Linked DNA regions of Arabidopsis thaliana. The protein of the gene in region 1 interacts with the protein of each later gene in a pairwise test. Each region holds a gene or a part of one and is shown in the gene's direction. Other genes may lie near its edges.

Region 1 (6,536 bases):
CCAACAAAACTAAGCGCACGGTTACCATTCCCACCACCCAATAACCTTGCTGTTGCTGACCGGAAACCGCTACTAGCTGTGGAACTTGACGAGGTCCCAGTTGGTGTCGATGGAGCAGGTTTATCCTTAAGGTGAGCTAGAGTAACCTGACACCAAAATTTCACAAATCCATTCTCAGAAACCACTTTCAAAACATAAAAATGAAATGTGCATTTGATATTCTTACACAAAACCTAATAGCAATTTCGTAATAGCAATCACAAGTGCAAAGAAATCAGATTGGATTAAACTTTCAATTCAAAAATAAACACCAAAGAAAACGAATCAAATCTTCACCTGAGTAACGGTTTTGCCATGAGTGTAGTGAAGAAGCCCAGAGGGATGCGTCTTCTCGTAGTGGAGCTTGTACTTTCCTTCAGGCGTCTTGAAATACGTTTTGATTCCCGGAGACTGAGGATTCGCCGCCGAAGCTGACGAAGAAGAAGGCCCAGAGATCATCCCATTCGAAGTGTTCATCATATTTGCTCACTTGCTCTTTCTCTAATTCACAAGCTACTTAGAGCATCCGATCATGTCCCTCCCAAGCTAGGGTTTACCCTTCTCCCACTACACAAAATCCAAAAATCTTCTCTTCTTCAATGCAAATTTCTCTAAACTCTGTTCATCATCGTCGCCAAAATCAAAATGGAACTTTAATACTCCTGGATTCGCCAATGGCTACTGGATCAAAAAGATTAATACAATGTGGATTCCGATTCGCTTCCTTTATTGCTTTCTTAATCATCCTCTTAACTCATCAATCAAATTGACTATTAATGGATAAAATCAAAGTCATCTCGATCAACGGTCAAGATCCCTTTAATCTCTGAGTTTCTCGAACCCTTTTGATACGTACAGCTGAGGCCCAAGTACAGTCCAAAAATATAGGCCCATTACTGAAGAACCATAGTTAATTAATAAATTGTTTAGTCGACAATAAGACAGTGAACGGGTTTTACCGGTAGCCGGTGAAGTTGGTCAGAGAAGGGATTAATGTCCCGGCAACGTCGTAACTCAACCGCTTTAATTTGATTTTTCTTAAATATAAACCGATACTCTTCATCGCTCAACCATCACCAAAAAAGAAAGCAATTTGTCTTCAAAACATATTTCTCTCTCTAAAACCTCTTTTTCATAAAAGGTTGCGTCATCTATACGAATCCATACGTCTCTTTGCTTTTCTCCGATCGGTCTTCTTTTCTCATCGCCGGAACGCTTTGGTAATGTTTCTCATTTCTCCGATCATTATTGTTGTTTCGCCGTTGAGCTGATTATTTCGTGTTGGTATGTATAAACAAGCCGATCGTTGTTTCCTTTTTTCTCTTGTGATTGTGTGATGATGGATTGTTTCTTTTTTTCGGTTTAATCCGGTTTATTCCCGGTTTTGCTGCTACATCGGTGACTTTTCCCACAATCTTCGGGTATGATCGCGATCATGTCCGTTAACCGGAGTCGGTTCTGATAATTTCAGACTTCGAATTTGTTCTCTTTCACGTAGTTGTTAGCTTTTTAAGATTCCGATACTGAGAAGAGACCAGCTCGGTGATTAGAGGAGATGTTGTAAGCTTTGTGTTTTGGTTAGCTGTTGATAATGTTGTTCAGGCTGCTACTTCAGCGATGCGGGTAAGCTAGTTTGGGATATAGTGTATTAGCATAACCTAGGCTTAGCTGGTTTGTATCCTGCAGGCTGCAGGTTTAGTGGCAATGGTGGTTTCTAGTTCTATCATACCTTTCTCCACCACGAACCTCTGGTAGTTGAGAAACTGGAGAAAAGCCTAATCAGTGATTCAAGTGTTTGGAAGATTTGAGAACTAGTACGGCTATAGTTTCAGGTCAGAATTCATCTTCCTCTTTGAGAACTTTTAGAAACTTTGAAATTATGGCATCATTCTTAAAGAAATTGCATTGATAACACATTTCAAACAGATGTTAGTTCCTCATGTTAGCCCATTAGGATTGGTGGCTGGCCTATCCTTGATGTATTCTGATTTGCGGATTGTGTTGTGGACCTTCTTGGTTGATTGGGAAAGCAAAGCGAACTTGAACTCAAGTCATCTAGAAGTTATTCTGATCCATAGGGGTAAGGAAATAACCATAACTAGTCTCTGCCATCACATGTGTACCAGAGTGTGTTTAGTCAGTTGAAGATGCTTGAGGTACGGTATCCATGAGTGGGGAACTTCAATCTTCCTAACAAACTACATCTATCATATAATGGTTTCTAGAGTGACATGCTGTCACGTACAAGCATTTGATTTGGATGCACAATGATGTGAAACATAATGCTAATTTTAAGAAAGCATCCTTTCACACAAGCCCGAATTCAGGAGTCTATTAAGGTGTGCTGGTGGGTTTGAAGACAATAAGAGCGCAGAAATAGTAAATGAGGTAGTAAGCCTTTGCAGGCTAGTACTTTTGTGGACTAAATCCGTTTATCTAAGGAAACTGTAGTGTATTCAATTTGTGGATCAGAGGAGAAGGAATAGAATTTGGTGTTCTCATTGTATTAGTGAAGTCAAGGGCCTAATTGCTTCCTGTTGGTCTACTTTAAAGGTGTGCAGAAATGATGAATCAGTGATCAATCAAGCACGACGGCTTTATCACTTGGGTAGTGTAGTGTATTCGTGGTTAGGACTTTCTAAACCTATATCCTTCTAGGATTATTTGCCTGCAGGTGCACTTTTGAGGGTTTCGGTTCAGAAAAATATTTTAAGCTTAAGTCCTGCTATTGGATTTTCCATGTAATTTTCTTGCTCATGTCATCTATGGTTGTAAGTTTAGTGAAATACATGTACAAGGCCTTTACTTGAATATAAACGAAGAAGTAGTACATTGATAGAAACTGAAAAGATGATATCAAGTGTTACCTATTTTGCATGAACTTGCTCTGATGCTCTTTTATGCGGATACAGTATATGATAATTTGCCATCGTGCCTTATTCTTTCATCCTCTTCTATTTCCTAATCAGTTTCCTATAGACTTTTCTGTAAATTCTATAGACTTTTTGAAAGTGTGTAATTTGATGAACTCCTTGTATTACTCTTCACTTTTGATGGCTCTGGTTTGGAGAGTCGAGAACCTTAGTGATACTTTAAATGCAAAGGCTTCTTAGTTTCCCAACCGTGCTTGTTTTCTGCCTCTCTTTTCTTTTGGTTTAAAAGAAGTATGTCTGTTGTTATTGACAAACTCTTCTATGTAAGTTTTTCTTATGAACTAAAAGATCTGTACTATTAAGGTTTATTTTTCATGTATAAGCATCATGAACTTTCCTGCAGCACAGAGCCTAAGTCCACAAAAACTTGTTTGCTTATGATATCATGAGATCTGAGGTATATAATATGGTAGGTACATGTTACAAAGGTAATGGTACTAGAGCTTGAAACTATGGACTGATTTCTTATATATTTACTTGGGAAATTTGGCTATCAGACTGAAAGTAAACTATGTTGGTTGGAAATTATAGATTTTTTTTTTTTCTGAGCTTGCGGATGTTTTCCTGGGATTTTGAATGGTGAGAGAAATTTTTGTGCAGGTTTAATGGGGCACAGACATTTTCTTGGTTCATCCCAGTTTTTTGATGATGAACATGATCAAGGCTGGAATCATACACACCCAGAACATCCATATTCGAGTCAAGGTAATTAGTCCTTCATTCTATAGTTCCTTAATCTGTTTTTTATTTATTGAAATTTGGTTGATGATGCATGTTTAGTTTTAGGGTAATATGTTCCATATTTCTGATTAATTATTGTCCATCCCACATTTTCTCAGCAACATCTGGGACCAGTGAGAACAGATCACATGTTTATCCAGCAGAAAACATGTTGAATGAAGGAATGCCAGTGTCTTCTCATTGGAACTCTTCTCCAGGACCAAATGCTTATACTGACTCAGGTCATAGTGTGGAGAGACCACACTACAATCCGGGGGTTTCGGGGCCGTCCCATGATCCTTCCGTGAATTCAACAGTTCCAACTTTCTCTGCTCCACATGAGAATTATGTGACATTTGCATCTTCTTCAAGCTACAACAGCCAGACATGGTCAAATGCTAGTTATGTTGATCATCAATCTATGGAAAGTGTGAGAGGAGCACAAAAGAGAAAACGACCATGTCCTTCTTCCATCTATGAAATGGGTAGTTCAAGCCAATATCACGGTGACAGAACTCCTGCAGACACTCATTTCCCCTCGGAATTGCACTTGGGAAAATCAATAACGCATGATCATGACCCTCATTACATGCCATGGCTTATGAACCCAACTTACAGAAGTAATAATCTCTCGATCAGGGGAGAGAGCTCTTCAAGGAATGTCCGGAGTCGTCCTACACTTGATTCAGAGACCAGCTTAGGTAGAAATAATTTGCCAAGAAGCTTGAGCCTTGATTCTCATTCTACACACCACCACAGTGTTGATCATTATGGCTCAGGTCAATTTCCTGGTCAGACATCTCACGGAAATAAAGACTGGAACTGTGCTAGATTGTCCCCAGTTCTTAGAGGTATGCAAAGTTCACTTTGTCTCGATATCTGAATCGTCTTTGTTTCTAATAATCACATTAATTCCCACTTTGCAGATATAAATGGCTTTAGTCCAGAGACAAATAATTTCCTTCCTGCAAGAAGTGTTGTCAACAGCTTATCTGTTAATACTTCCGGCTATCATCACCATGAGCTTACCGGAAACAGAAACCCTACAGTTTCCCACGGGGTTCCTGGAACTTCAACACTATCTACAAGCAGCAGCCGCTTCTCTCATAGGTCAACATCCACCTATAGATCTTCTTCACACGGTTCGCGATCGGGACATGTAGCATCTTCTTCTGGAGACAGGTCTCATTTGGTCACTGAGACTTATCCGTCTAGGCATTTAAGGCCACCACCACACATTTCATGGCGTAGCGGTGATCGGCCAGGGAGACGCAGAAGTTCCTATGAGAGGTTTCAGCCTCCTTTCGATGAAGTTGCTCTCCACGAACGGTTTTCATCTGAGGTATATATTTCCCTTACAGATGCATTATTTAGAGTGGAAGTCTGTCTAAATTACATTTAGTATTAAGATAAAGATCAAGCCGATATGATACAGTGCATATCGAATATTAAGATATAGATTTGCAATCTTATCATTTTCTGCTGCATGCTGAACTGTAATCTGTTATTTTTTGGGGTGTATGTAATAATAGGAATTCATGGTTGAAGATCGCCAACCACAATACTACGGATCCAGAAACATGCTTGATCACCACAGAGACATGAGGCTTGACATCGATAACATGAGCTATGAGGTTAATAGCCAAACACTTATCTTTTGAAGCCTCACATAGGCAAAACGAAAAGTTTTGGTACTGACATATATATGCAGGAACTCCTTGATCTTGGAGAAAGGATTGGGAGTGTCAACACTGGTCTATCCGACAGCGCAATCTCCAGTTGCTTGTTAGCAACAATGTATTATCCATCATATCAAACAGAGGAGCAAAGAAAATGTGCAATCTGCCTGGTAAGATTTAGTTTTTTTTTTTTTTTTCACAACCTGGTAAGATTTAGTTGTCTGAAACATTATGTGTCTATAAAGTTAGAAGTAGGCTAACTTAAGGGTGATGTGGTAATTGGTAAACAAATAGGAGGAGTACAAGGAAAAAGAAGAGTTAGGGGAAGTTAAGGGGTGTGGTCATGACTACCATGGGAGGTGCATCAAGAAATGGTTGTCTATGAAGAACTCTTGCCCTATTTGCAAATCCCCTGCTTTACCTGATGCTTCTAAGAACTCATCATAAATTATAGGTTATCTTTTATGTGTGCATGTTATATTCATTTGTCTTTCGAAAGGAAGAAAAATATGTGACAGAATATAACATTAAGTTTTCTTAGTGATTAATAGTTGTAAATAGAAGAAAGTCCAGGATCTTTCTCAAGGGTTAATATATATGTTAATTATTGGAAAAGGCTCTCTTTGGAAAATCTGGATTTGTTACAGATGCAAATAGTTACACAACACTTCACACTATATGGTATTTCATCTTCAAAGAGAAATAAGATTGACAAATAAAGAGATGATATAGTCCTTGAATTTTCCTTGTGGATGGGTGAATTCTTCACCGGTCCTGTAGGTCACATCTATCATTTTTCCAGCATTAGTGGCCCGTGATAAGATATCGCCTGATATTATCTTCCTTGACTTCAAGTACACTTCGTTCACTGACTTGGCCGTCTGGATTTAAGCCACTCATAACTTTTTCTTCTAGCAGTTTGTACCAACCCAAGAAAACTGCATGAAACAGTTACATACATTGACACCTCAACACCACCAATCTCCAAGTACTCATCGAATGTAGGCACGATGTCTCCTTGTGCCCACTCTGCATAGCTAAGGTTGGCCTTTGAGTATAGTTTGAACTGCTTAATGTTTAGGAGCATATATACAAAAAGATGTTATGTCTATGATAATCTCTTTATGTCGACCGTTATTAGTGAGGTACTAGCTAAGATACTATT
Region 2 (4,127 bases), on another chromosome or scaffold:
GACAACTTTTTCAAAAAGAAAATTAACATGCCGAAATCATGAACGTCGTAAATCATCAAACAGCTAGGATTCGTTGTATCATACACTTAAAATGATTAGAGAGTTGATCTATTACTCTAGAGTTTACTTGCAATGATCTCAAACATAAAAATATTAAAACGTTTATTTGATTCCCTATGCAATGAAAAGTGAAGATCTTTATGATTAGCACGGAATTTTCCAAGCTTAACTTTTGACTTTTGTCTCCCTAATCATTCATTAATAACCACTTCATGTCTTTATAAAAAGCACCCCGTACGAAGTTCTTCACTCAAAGCTCCTCATACCATAGTATATTTTGAGCTTTCTAATCACATAGTAATAATTTTGAAAATGGCGATCCTAACTCCCGTCATTAAACTCGTTGTTTTTAGGCAAAGTCTACGACCACATTCTGCTATTGCATTCCTCGTTGAGTTTCTTTGCTTCGTCTTAGAATTACTCGACAAGGAGAAAGATCTAGCCAAAATATTCGGTATCGTATGTGCTTGCGACACATTAATCTTCACTTTGCTCGATCTTATCCAAAGTTTGATCGAGGAAGAAGTGAAAATACAAAGATGCGGCCGAGTGTTTTGGCTTTACACAAACGATGGGAGCCTCTATTGGCACACATTAAACGCATATCTTTTGATGTTATGCATTGTCCACGTCATCGGTTCCACGATCTCTTACGTTTCTCATAAACATTATCTAGTCTTGCTCCCGCTTTTCGCAGCCGGACTCGAACTCGTCCCACAAGAAGCCTATCGAGTTCTTGGACCGGATCAAGAGTCTGGAAATTCTATTGAGCCTCTTAATGGTCCATTAAATGGTATTGAGCTTGAACAAGGAATGGTTGTTCATGTTGAGCCTCTTCAAGAGCCACTAGATGGTATTGAGCTAGAGCAAGAACTCGTCCCACAAGAAACCAATCGGGTTCTTGGACCGGACCAAGAGTCACAAAACTGTATCGGGGCTCTTAATGACCCATCAGATGGAAAAGACCAAAACCTTCAAGATGATATTGTGCTAGATCAAGAGTCACAAGATTGTATTATTGCACCTCATCAATGTCCATTAGATGGTATTGACCTACAACAAGAAACGGTAGTTCACGTTGAGCCTCTTCAAGACCCACTAGATGGTATTGAGCTAGAGCAAGAAGTGGCTATTCATGTTGGGCCAAATGATGACCCATAAACTATTAGAAGCCTACTATAGAATGAAAGCTGAAACATTATATAGATGGAGACGTATGTTTAATGTAATGTACTTTGTCTTAAAAACTTATGTACTTATGATCGTACGACTTTGGTAGCTACAATGTAAGAGAATCTTTGTTACAAAAAAAAATCTATAAATAAAATCGACTCTTCAATGTCCCGTGGAGTCAGTGAAGGATAAACGACACGTGTGAACACGAAGGAAGATTAATAGCCGTCCGATGAAAATGGTTAATTTTGTAATTTTGACTCTTTCACGTGTGCCCTTTCCTCACCCCGAAAAATATTTTTATTTCCTTTTGTTTACACTTTTTGATTTCATTTTCAATAATAATAATATTCGAGTAGAAGAAGAAAGATCCAGACAAAAGCTTAAGCAAGACCTCTCTGTCTTCGTCTCTCTCTCTCTCTCTCTTTGTCTCCGCCATGACAAGCTCTTCATCTCCTTCACGCAAGGTTCTTAGATTCTCTCACTCTTGTCTTCTTATGTGTTTTTTGATTCTCCGATTGTGATTTTTTGAATTTTTGAGATTTGTGTAGGCGTTAAGCAAGATCGCGTGTAATAGGTTACAAAAGGAGTTATCAGAGTGGCAAGTAAATCCACCGACTGGGTTTAAGCACAGAGTTACTGATAATCTTCAAAAGTAATTTTCATTTCAAAATCTTTCCTTTTTTTGATTATTTATCATTTCGATTTTTGATTGTTTTTTTTGTTTTTGTGTGATTTAAAGATGGGTAATTGAGGTAACAGGAGCACCTGGTACGCTTTACGCTAATGAAACTTATAATCTTCAGGTTGAGTTTCCTCAACATTATCCTATGGAAGCTCCTCAGGCAAGTTTTTCATTGTGTTGGTTTTGTTCTGAAAAATTTGTTGTTTTTGATTAAGGGTTTATTTCAAATTTCTTAATTGTGGATTAATTAACTGAAACCAGAGTGTTTTTATGGTTGTATTGCATGTTTTAGGTCAGAGAATTAGTTTGAGATATAGTGACATTTTCTCTACTTGGTTTTGTGCTGTGTTCTGATTTTCATGTGTTTGGTTTTTGATCAGGTGATTTTTGTTCCACCAGCACCGTTACATCCTCATATTTACAGCAATGGACATATTTGTTTAGGTAATTTTACTCATTGTTTCTACACTACTTACTCTTTGCATTTGCTCTTACTTTTTGGTTTCTCTGAAATGCTAGCTCAAGTCATGTGTGTGTCAATCAAATTAGTTTATCTGTTTGATACTTACATATATAGGTTGTTCTTGTTCACGGAATGTAATGTAGCGAAAAGAGAAGCAATGTTAGTAACAATACCCTTAAGAGTCCTAATATATTATATCAACATTGTTACCAGTCTTAACCTTTTTCTCAGTCTGTCTCATTCTTAAAGAGTTCCTAATACTAGCGTCGCATGACATGAAATTAGGTGTGAATGTGTTATCAACGCCATAAAGAAAACCAATACCGTCCCTTTTGGACTCTATGGTGAATTCTTTAGCAAAATCAGAATCTGATCCATGATTATAACAGCCTCTCAATTTCTAGTTATATTGAAACTCCCTTTGGAATGTTGATCAAATAACTTGAAACTCCCATTTGAGTTAAAATCAAATAACACATTTTAGTTTTGCTGTTTTCACTAAACAATAAGAACATGAAAGTTTTATGTAAATTTCTTAAATCTGTTCTCAATGCATCTAAATCCGGTCTAATGAAATCGTGGTGGAACTGAACCATTTGTTACAATACATAATCACGATTATACCCGGCCTCATTTTAGGAGAAAGTCCATTAGGATTATGCGCTTAATATAACACACTCTCTAATTCCTTTTTGTAGATATTCTGTATGACTCATGGTCTCCAGCAATGACAGTGAGTTCAGTCTGCATCAGCATCCTCTCAATGCTATCAAGTTCCCCCGAAAAGGTTTCTACATTTGATCTCTCACACTTTGTATTGTTGTCACAAATTCAAACTTTTTGACCCTGCCACACAACTCTTACTATGTCTTATTGTCGATGACAATATCAGCAACGCCCGACTGATAACGATCGATATGTGAAGAACTGCAAGAACGGGAGGTCTCCTAAAGAGACAAGGTGGTGGTTCCATGACGACAAGGTTTAATGATGACGACCGTAAGATGTCTCTCCTTTCAGTTACAAAAGAGGTTTATATAATTTCCCAAGACTGATAATACTAATTGAAATTCCTCATGGCCTCCCACTTTTTTTTCTGTAACGGATCATTATGTATAAATGACATCTGAAATGTTTCAGTGTCTGAATTAACACCTTGTGCTTTTGTCCTTTCTGAAGTGAAAAACCATGGAGAGTTTAGGCAAAACGAAATTGTATTTGGCAATGTAATTGGATTGATAACTAGTTGGTGTAATGTAATTGAAAATTGAAAAACTAACATAACAATAGAATCCCCAAAGAGTAAACATAACCATGAACGAACAATTAGCATAGCTGCGAGTAATCAAGTTTGCAACAACATTTATTCACCACCACACATAAGAGCACATTTAAGGTGAAAAGACTCGGGCGAACAAAGGATTTATTAAAACACCAAACATATTTTAGCAAAATAGGTAAGAGAGAAAAGCAAATCAAGCAGCAGCAACAACTGTCTTGTGCTTCTCGAGATTGGCAATGATTTCTTCTTTAGCAGCACCAACCACAGTCTCCTTGATCTCTCCTTCTTTCATGAAGATAAACGTTGGCATTGCCTGAACTTTAAACTCCTCAGCAACAGTCTGCACAACAACATAACAAGCAAGATAAAGGCTCAGAGAAGTCAAAAATCCCTAAGTTTGGATATTGGGATAGTGTAAGATTGATGAAGGAAACTCACGTTCAATTCGTCAACATCGACCTTGA

The links.
Region 2: the proteins of AT2G37150 (region 1) and UBC18 interact in a two-hybrid assay, tested with the Arabidopsis thaliana proteins (one large-scale study listed by BioGRID).

What each region holds. Positions count from the first base shown.
Region 1 is NC_003071.7:15,603,030-15,609,565, reverse strand, and holds AT2G37150 (RING/U-box superfamily protein), read left to right. Parts: upstream 1-1,965; coding exon 1,966-2,119; exon of another isoform or gene 2,120-3,357; coding exon of another isoform or gene 3,358-3,400; exon of another isoform or gene 3,401-3,572; coding exon 3,573-3,677; intron 3,678-3,811; coding exon 3,812-4,543; intron 4,544-4,618; coding exon 4,619-5,034; intron 5,035-5,224; coding exon 5,225-5,326; intron 5,327-5,403; coding exon 5,404-5,541; intron 5,542-5,665; coding exon 5,666-5,818; 3' UTR 5,819-5,985; downstream 5,986-6,536. Other genes in the region: AT2G37160 (Transducin/WD40 repeat-like superfamily protein), read right to left, coding at 1-233, 337-519; AT2G37140 (Terpenoid synthases superfamily protein), read right to left, coding at 6,237-6,440.
Region 2 is NC_003076.8:17,243,448-17,247,574, reverse strand, and holds UBC18 (ubiquitin-conjugating enzyme 18), read left to right. Parts: upstream 1-1,586; 5' UTR 1,587-1,670; coding exon 1,671-1,700; intron 1,701-1,784; coding exon 1,785-1,888; intron 1,889-1,975; coding exon 1,976-2,078; intron 2,079-2,298; coding exon 2,299-2,362; intron 2,363-3,079; coding exon 3,080-3,168; intron 3,169-3,273; coding exon 3,274-3,369; 3' UTR 3,370-3,588; downstream 3,589-4,127. Other genes in the region: AT5G43000 (uncharacterized protein), read left to right, coding at 373-1,221; TRX3 (thioredoxin 3), read right to left, coding at 3,857-4,003, 4,102-4,127. UniProt on the Arabidopsis thaliana protein: Accepts the ubiquitin from the E1 complex and catalyzes its covalent attachment to other proteins.